Oryctolagus cuniculus: one gene and its partner. The protein of the gene in region 2 interacts with the protein of the main gene of each other region in a pairwise test. Links are inferred from orthologs where the notes say so. Each region holds a gene or a part of one and is shown on either strand. Other genes may lie near its edges.

The links.
Region 1: the proteins of NEFL (region 2) and SKIL interact in binary tests that used the Homo sapiens proteins (3 or more experiments, as listed by UniProt). The link is inferred for Oryctolagus cuniculus from reciprocal best matches to the Homo sapiens genes NEFL and SKIL.

The regions. Positions count from the first base shown.
Region 1 is NC_091435.1:109,896,493-109,900,674, forward strand, and holds part of SKIL (ski-like protein), read right to left. Parts: intron 3,284-4,182; coding exon 3,042-3,283; intron 2,748-3,041; coding exon 2,523-2,747; intron 1,846-2,522; coding exon 1,687-1,845; 3' UTR 1-1,686. UniProt on the Homo sapiens protein: May have regulatory role in cell division or differentiation in response to extracellular signals.
Region 2 is NC_091433.1:49,227,814-49,232,437, reverse strand, and holds the start of NEFL (neurofilament light polypeptide), read right to left. Parts: upstream 2,928-4,624; 5' UTR 2,792-2,927; coding exon 1,745-2,791; intron 796-1,744; coding exon 671-795; intron 228-670; coding exon 1-227. UniProt on the Homo sapiens protein: Neurofilaments usually contain three intermediate filament proteins: NEFL, NEFM, and NEFH which are involved in the maintenance of neuronal caliber.

The DNA.
Region 1 (4,182 bases), on a different chromosome or scaffold from region 2:
AGGTCTAAATAAATTATATTAGGGAGATATGCATTTTCAACATTTGTTCCATCTTGAGATTCCAAGAATCAATAAATTAAATTACAGGGTAAATATAGTAAAAATTGAAATGAAAAGTAGAAAATACACATTTAGATCATACTCTGTTTAGTAAAGTTCCCTTTTAGGAACTATAGAAATTCTTTTGGGATATATGAGTACCATTAAGAACAATCTGAAAATAACTGGTTAATGATAAGCTATGTGATTTTTTTTTTTTTTTAAGTTCTACCAACATTAGAGTACCTGCCTTCTACAATGGACATAGCACACAACTTTCATTCTAGTTCACTTGTAATAATTTCATACAGAACCTTGTCAGAAAGCATGAAAAACAAAATTCATGGGGTTAATAATGTCAACTACTGGTGGTTTCAGGAAACTTTCCTTTAAAAAACTGCATACTAACAATTTTTTTTCTATTATCTTTTAAGCCAAGAATTAACAGGAAATTTGCTTTTAAAGAGTGACAGACTTTTCTGTGCAAAAAAAAAAAAGTACAGAAGATGTTGCCTCTTCCCAAACTATGGAATTCTTTTGTAAACTAAAAATTATCTAAAAATTTTAGTAGCAGATAATTAAACTCCTATACAAAGCTATCATACACTATCAGTTGACTGTAAATTCCTGATTTTGATATTAAGTAGTAATTGAAAATGGTCCATTCGTGCAAATTTTTGGTAAGACTTAACATTTAACATACAAAAGTCCAAAATAACCTTCAATATGTTTAATATTTTACAATTTAAAGGAAAACAAATCCATTATATAAATTTCATTCCAACCCATAGCTACATACAAAACCTGTACAGAAGGACTGTGGATTCTATAGAAACTGATGTACATCAATGACACCAATTCTTCTCAACATTATTATTTTCACACCACTATTAACAACATAAACAAAAGTTCAGAAATCATTATTTTTCTGAAGATACAGCGTAAAAAATTTCTAAATATAACCACATTAAACCTGAAAAACAAATTACAACTGCTTCTTACATTTAGCAGCAATGCGTAACAAAACATCTTACTCTTTCCAATGACACCCATGGGTTATGCTATTCCTTCATTAATGAAATTCCTCTTAGGAGACATTTAAAAGAGAACTGAGGATTGAAGAAATTCATTCCACAATCTGAACAAAGTAAAAGCTAATGTCTGTGTATAATAATGAGTATATATATCACTTATAAAGGAGATTGTGTTAATAAGAAAAATGCAGATTCAACTCCTTGAATAGTTCTATAGTATATATTTGAAATATAATGCCACCATTATATCTAAAATTGAGTCTGAAATATGGATAACAAAATTGACCACAGCTATTTCCCATCACATAATGCAGCTTTTAAAAAGTATACAACTGTTAAATTCACATTAGAAATATAGGCAGGTTATCTACTACTTGAAATCCTATATTGTTACTAAGCTGAAAAAAAAATACAAAGAAACCTACATTTTCATTCATTTGGAAAATGTAAAAATTTATGTACTAATATATAATCTCTTCACTTTCTTTGATCTACAAATGGGTAGAATGCCTAGCTATTGTCATGCGGATAAGTTGTTCAGAATTCTATTACCAAAGCAAGCAATAAACAAAAAAACCCTGTCAGTATACACAGATGATCTCTTTAACAGTTCCTATTCTTTAGCAGCCTTGGATGACTTCAAAATTTGCAGCTTTAACTCTTTTATCATCATCTCTAACTTCTGTCTTGCCTCCCGCTCCTGTCTGAGTTCATCTTGGAGTTCTTGCCTATCAGCTTCAGCGTGGTCCAGTCTCTGTCTCAGTTCTGCTAGCTGTGTGATTTAAAAGGCTGTGTCAATATTCATTTAGTTTTGTTTTTCCATTTAATCTTATACCACAGCAAAGACCTACTTTCACATTATGTTTTACAAAACAAACTATTTCATGCATACCACAGTCTTTTAAGTATCTAATACTATTACCTTGACATTCAACATGACATTAAATTGAAGGTAAAGCAAAGGATCAAGAGGAATAAACACCTAAAACACCTACAGCACTTTAATTATTTTCTGTGCATTACTAGATCCTTGTTACAACCTGTTCAAGCTAATATTTGTACATCTTCCCTCAAATGTGAGCAACTATTAACATAAAGGATTTACTTATTTATTTTTGCTTCAGTGCTTTTGAATAGAGTAGGCAACAGTTATTTGTTAATATGTTGATTTGAAAGCATATATTATTAAAATAATATTTGATCATCAGAGAGCTAGATTTACAATTTAAGTAAATAAATTATAGAAATCCAATAAACTTTAAAGTAATAAACCAATAAAAGTCAAAAAATCATCATAGACAATCTAGCATAAAATTGTGTTTAACAGAATTATCTACATTGAAATCTAGCCTAGTGAATGAGCTTGACAAAAAGTAATTTCTTTAACAGAGCAGTAACACTTTCCATTCATGTTGAAAGGGCACATTATACAAACTGAGTAATTCTTACCTGTGCTGCATATTCAGCCTCTTTGTCTTTTTCCAAATTTGAGTCACATGTACATTTTTGCTTCATTACCTGCTCTAATTTTTTCTCTAAGTCCTTCTGTTCAACATAAAATTCTTCCATTCTTTGAGCATGTTCAGTCTGCAAAGATTCAAGTTCTTTCTGCAGATTCTGTTGTTCTTCAGTGAGTTCCCTCATAGCTTTTGAACTACTCAACATTTCCACTTCCTGTAAGTACAGAATCACAATACAATTTTATTTCCATCAGGTTAAAAATTTCAAAAAAAAAAAAACAAAAAAACTTTTAGTTCAGGAAAAAATAAGTCAGAAAATATATAAAATTCGTATTAGTTCTATATATCAACAGTTATATTGAAAAATATCTTCTCTATAAATGTATTAAAATTGCCTATCAGTGTGAAACTGAACAATCTAACATATATTTGCAACATATCTTGACTCCTCTGAGAATGTGCAAAAGTATCTTTTCATAATGAATTATCATTTAAATAACAACTTTACCATCTGAAGTTGTTGCTTCTTTTGCAAAATTGAGTTCAGTTTTTCCTGTTGTTTTACATAAGTCCTCATTACTTCCTCCATGATTTTTCCTTTATCATCTTCACAAACGACATCTTTGACAAGGAGTGGAGATGATTCTGCAGTATCATGGCCAATTCCCAACTTGTTTGTGTCTCTGACTAAGTGGCAAGTGGTAGAGTCAGATTTCTTTTTACTCACAGAACTATGTAAGATTGATGGATCTTTGAGAGGGAAAAAAAAATCAAGTAACAAAGAATAAATATCACTGTGTTAAAAAGTCACTGGAAGAATCCAGGAATGCTATTAACAAGACAATTCCATTCAAAAATTAAATCAACAAGAATAAAATACTTAGGAATAAGTTTAACAAAAGTAGTTAAACATGTACAATAGCAACAACAAAACATCAAAGAAAGATGTGAATACATAAAAAGACAGTCCATGTTAACAGATTGGAAGACTAAGTATTTTTTTTCTATTTGACAGGTAGAGTTATAGACAGTGAGAAGGAGAGACAGAGAGAAAGGTCTTCCTTACGTTGGTTCACTCCCCAAATGGCCGCTACGGCCAGCACTACGCCAATCTGAAACCAGGAGCCAGGTGCTTCCTCCTGGTCTCCCATGCGGGTGCAGGGGCCCAAGCACTTGGGCCATCCTCCACTGCACTCCCGGGCCACAGCAGAGAGCTGGACTGGAAGAGGAACAACTGGGACTAGAACCCGGCACCCATATGGGATGCCAGTGCCACAGGAGGAGGATTAACCAAGTAAGCCACAGTGCCGGCCCCCAGAAGACTAAGTATTTTTAAGATAATAATATTCCCCAAATTGATCCATATGTTCAGTGCAATCTCCATTAAAATCCCAGCTGGTTTTCTGGCAGAAATTGATAAGCTGATTCTAAAATTCATATGGAAATACAAAGACTCCAAAATAGACAAAAAATCCTGAAAAAGAATTAATAATTTCCAATGTTAAAGCTTGCTACAGATATCAAGTCCATTGTGTAGTACTCACATAAGGAAAGATACATAGATCAGTGAGAAAGAATTCAGAGTCCAGAACCAAGTAAACCCACAATTGTTTTTTTGTTTTCCCCTCCCAGAGAAACCTTTTATTTAA
Region 2 (4,624 bases):
CCTCCTCGGCCTTAGCAGCCTCAATGGTCTCCTCCACCTCGATCTGCTCTTCCTGCACGTGGCTGGTGTAGTAGGTCGGGAAGGAGCGGGCGGACATCAAGTAGGAGCTGGTCTGTAAACCGCCATAGGCAGACCGGCCGAAGACCTGGGAGCTCTGGGAGTAGCCACTTGTTATGCTGCCCACACTGGTGAAACTCAGTCGGGTCTCCTCACCTTCCAAGAGTTTTCTGGGGAGACCAACAGAGGGTAGGGTTAAAATTAAAACAACCTAGGAAGTGTATTTAATGACTTGCTCTAAGCCCACCTCTCATCTGTTCTCCCAATGCCATCCTACAGGCAAATGCAAACAAGAGAGGGCTGGGAATTACCAATATCCAATGGCTAGGAATTTTATGAATGAGACTGGGGGTGGGGGGATACAGAATAAAGTACGTTAAATAGTTCTATTAGATTTTAAGTGTAATGAGAAGCTAAAAACAGGACTTAATATTACAGGGTAAAGTTCTTTGATATTTGTCTAAACACTTGCTCCTTCGAAGAAGCAAACTAATCATAATAATATCTCATTTCAGAGGGCTATTGCAGAAGGCTTCTGGTTCAACATGATCTAAATGGCATCTGATTTTCTTCCAAGGCTTTCTGGCTACTACCTTTGCCCTTCTGTTGTTACCTGTAAGCTGCAATCTCAATATCCAAAGCCATCTTCACATTGAGGAGGTCTTGGTATTCTTTTAGGTATCGTGCCATTTCACTCTTTGTGGTTCTCAATTCATTTTCTAGTTTGTTGATCGTGTCCTGTTGGAAGACAGAAAAAGAAGAAAATCTAAGCATCAATTCCTACTGCTATCATTTTACTGTAGCTCAGTTACAAACACTCAGTTTCAGTTAGAGTCGAGGGGCACACCTTTAATAAAAATCTCCCCTAAAACAGCTGCTCACTCTTTTTTGAAAATATTTCTCGCCTAAAATATCCAGCTTCATGAAGCATGAGAAGAAAAAAAAAAAACTAAAGAAAGAACATTCCTTTAAGACAATATCCTCAACTAGTACAATCTAAGGAGCATCAGAATATGCCTGCATGGAAACTAACTTGACAGAAAAGGCTGGATTCTCATTTATGGGTTAACTCCACTTTAGCCAGGTCACAATCCAGAAAATTCATCCATTTCTTCATAAGAGAAGGAAGTAGCTAAATTGCTTATACTTTCTCTAAAATATTTCCTATATTTCTGCTCCCCAGCTAGTTACCCAAGACAAATCTGTCTGGGTTCCTGTCCACCTGCTAAGGGGAGGAGTAGCTGGTACTTAACCAGTCATAAAATATACTGGCCACAGTAACCTTTCGGGACTAATTAAGACTTACTCGCTATGGTTATTAACCAGGTGATCCCACTGGTGTTGCAAAGTAACTTCAGGTGAATGCAGGTAGGTAGATGGCCCGACATCCCTGCAGGCCAGGGCAACGCCCTACTCCCACCTCTCCCCCGCCCCCGCCTGACCCCTCCCACGCTGGGCAGCTTCAATGCGGAACTCAGACTCCACTGCACCACTCACACACCCAGACTGCAGTAGCGGCCCCGCCCCACCCAAGGGCCCCGCCCCTCCCACACCGTCCCCTGGGAGCACAGTGCGACCCCTACCAGCCCTGGTCTCCACTTTTTGGGCGCAGCTTCAACTCTCCCCCTGCCCCGACCCCCGCATTCTGCAGGTCCCCGCCCCCGCCGTGTTTCGCACCAGGCCGCACCTGCATAGCACTGATGTCGGCGTTCTGCTTGTCTTCCAGCTCCTGCAGCTGCTTCTCCAGCGCTTCGTTCATGCCCCGGCATGCTTCGATCTCCAGGGTCTTGGCCTTGAGCAGGCGGCGGCTCTCGGACACCTCGTCCTTGGCTGCGCGCACGGCGTCGGTGTTCTTGGCGGCGCTCTCGGTCAGCACGGTGAAGCGGCTCTTGAACCACTCTTCGGCGTTCTGCATGTTCTTGGCGGCCAGCTTCTCGTACTGTGCACGGATGTCCTTGAGGGCGGCGGAGAGGTCGGGCTTGGAGGACACGTCCATCTCCACGGAGATCTGAGCGTACTGGATCTGCGCCTGCAGCTCGGCGATCTCCTCTTCGTGCACTTTCTTCAGAAAGGCGATTTCGTCCATCAGGCTGTCGATGCGCTTCTCCAGCTCAGCGCGAGCGAGTGCCGCCTCGTCAGCGCCTTTGCGCGCCTCCATCAGCCTGCCTTCGGCGTCCTCCCGGCTCAGCACCTCTTCCTCATAGCGCGCCTGCAGGTTGCGAAGGGTCTCCTCCAGCCCTTCGCGCTCGCCCTGGAGCGCCTGCTTCTCGTTGGTGGCGTCTTCGGCAGCCAGGCGCAGGTCGCGGATCTCCTGCTCGTACAGCGCCCGGAAGCGGGACGGCTCCGAGTGCTTCTGGCGCAGCACCAGCAGCTCGGCTTCCAGGACCTTGTTCTGCTGCTCCAGCTCGTGCACGCGCTCGATGAAGCTAGCGAAGCGGTCGTTCAGGTCCTGCAGCTGCGCCTTCTCCTGCGTGCGGATCGACTTGAGGTCGTTGCTGATGGCGGCTACCTGGCTCAGGTCGAGGTTTTCCAGGCTGGGCATCAAGGAGCCGGAGCTGGAGGAGTAGCTGCGGCGCACGGACAGCGAGGAGGAGACCGGTGCCGAGTAGCTGGAGTAAGCGGAGCGCGCGGTGCTGTAGCCGCTGCGCACGCTGGAGATGTGCACCCGGGGCGTCTCCACGTAGCGCCGCTTGTAGGAGGTCGAGTAGTACGGCTCGTAGCTGAACGAACTCATGGTGGCGGCCGGTGCCCCTCTGGCCCGCGGCCGGAGATGGGGCCTGGAGAGAGAAAGAAGGACGGGGGAGAGAGGGAAAGGAGAGGATGGATGGCTGTGTGCGGCTCGGCGCCGTCCTGCCACCCCTATTTATACGCCGCGAGGCTTCTGACGCAGCCTGCGATCGATCCCGGCGCGCCGGCCAGTGGGGGCAGCGCGCTGCTGCAGCCAAGGGGAGGATTCTGCGCAAAACGGAGGGCGGGGGCGGCGGCGCGGGGCCGCTGAGCTGCGGCTCTTCTCCTTTGCACTTTTCTCTGAGGCCCTTTCTGTTCTCTGAGACCCTATATCCCCGCACCTGTGTCCTGTCCTTTCCCACCCAGCCAGCCGCAGCCTGCTTACCCCGGGACCCACGTATCACTCAGATGCTCAAGTATCCCCAGCCATTGGTTCTCGCCGCCCACTGACAACTTAGTTTTCCATAACCCGGTACCTCTCGGAGACCCTGGCCCGCAGCCCACCGCTTCCCACCAGGGACCTCTTTGATCACCCCTCTTCCCCACTTAGTGTTTATGGCGACGGTGCAGTGTCGCTAGTGGTTTGAGAGGAGAATAGGCTGTGGTTGCACGTATGCGGCATTTAGCGAGGAAAGTTTCGCGTTTCTTTGCAGTTTTTCTGGCACTTTCTTTAATTAATCTACCTTTCTCCTGGGCCCCCTGACCCCCGGAGTTGGTGGGCTGCTTCTCAGCCCACAGGGTTCTGCCCCCCTACCTACACACGTGCGCGATTGCGGCGTGCATTGCAGGTGTTACCTTTTATCATTTCTAAAGCTGTAGGGCACTGCCTCTGGCTTCCTAAATTTTCTTCTTTGTGGGGAAGAAAGCCTTGGAGGCTTTCGGTGTGTTGACGACGCGGGTAGACGGAGGGAAGCAGAGGAAGAGTGACGCTACCAAGGAGAAGACCCGCTTGCTAGGCGGCGGCTCGCTCTACGGCGGGCAACTGACTTCAGGCTGCCTGGCTGGAACTTCCCCGAGCTAAATCCCTGCTTCGTGGACTTGACACTACCGACTCCCTCCTATTAAAAGCCCCCTTGCCCGCTTTGTACACCTGTGTAACACCCAACCTGATGATTTCGAAAGGCCATGCAGGTGGCTGATTTTCATAGGGAAGCTGCGGCGGCCAGCCTCAGGCGTCGGGTGTGGTCTCCGGAGAGAACTCCTGGAGCTTGCAGCCAAAGCAGCCGCGTGATTCCTCCGTCGGGTCGCTATGTTAGGTAGATTAGAAAGGCAGTCAGAAATCTATGGGTTTCTTATGGAAAGCACCCGGATACCTGAAACAATGTGCACGCCTTACAGCACGTGGATACGCCTTTCCACAGGGGTTGTTTGGAGTTCTACGGGTTCATGGGGAGAATTGCAGAGATTTACATAAAATCCCTAAGGTTTTTCTAAGCATGCTCTTAGCTTTTGTTTTATTTGCATGACAGCATTTGACATCAACTTGATTTTTTTTTTTTTTACAGAAGCAAACTTTCCAAATGGAGAAATCAGAATCTCTTTGCCTGTGATATGCTTTCCCTGAGTGGTACCACAGTTGCTTCCAGAGGCACTGCACACCTCTCCGGAGAACAGCATGGAGTCAAGCTTATCCTGTGAGGTCCTTTCCAACCCCACCATCTGCAGGGCAGAGGGCAGGACTGCAGCCGAGAACTCTGATGGGGTTTCTAAGCAATTTGTGTTGTCTCCAATAATGCAGTTTCAGAAGTGTTAATATTGTGCTTACCCAAGCTCAAACATTCTAGGATTTCAAACAGACGGTAATTAAGCTGCCCTGAGTGTTGTGTGGCCCTGCTAGACA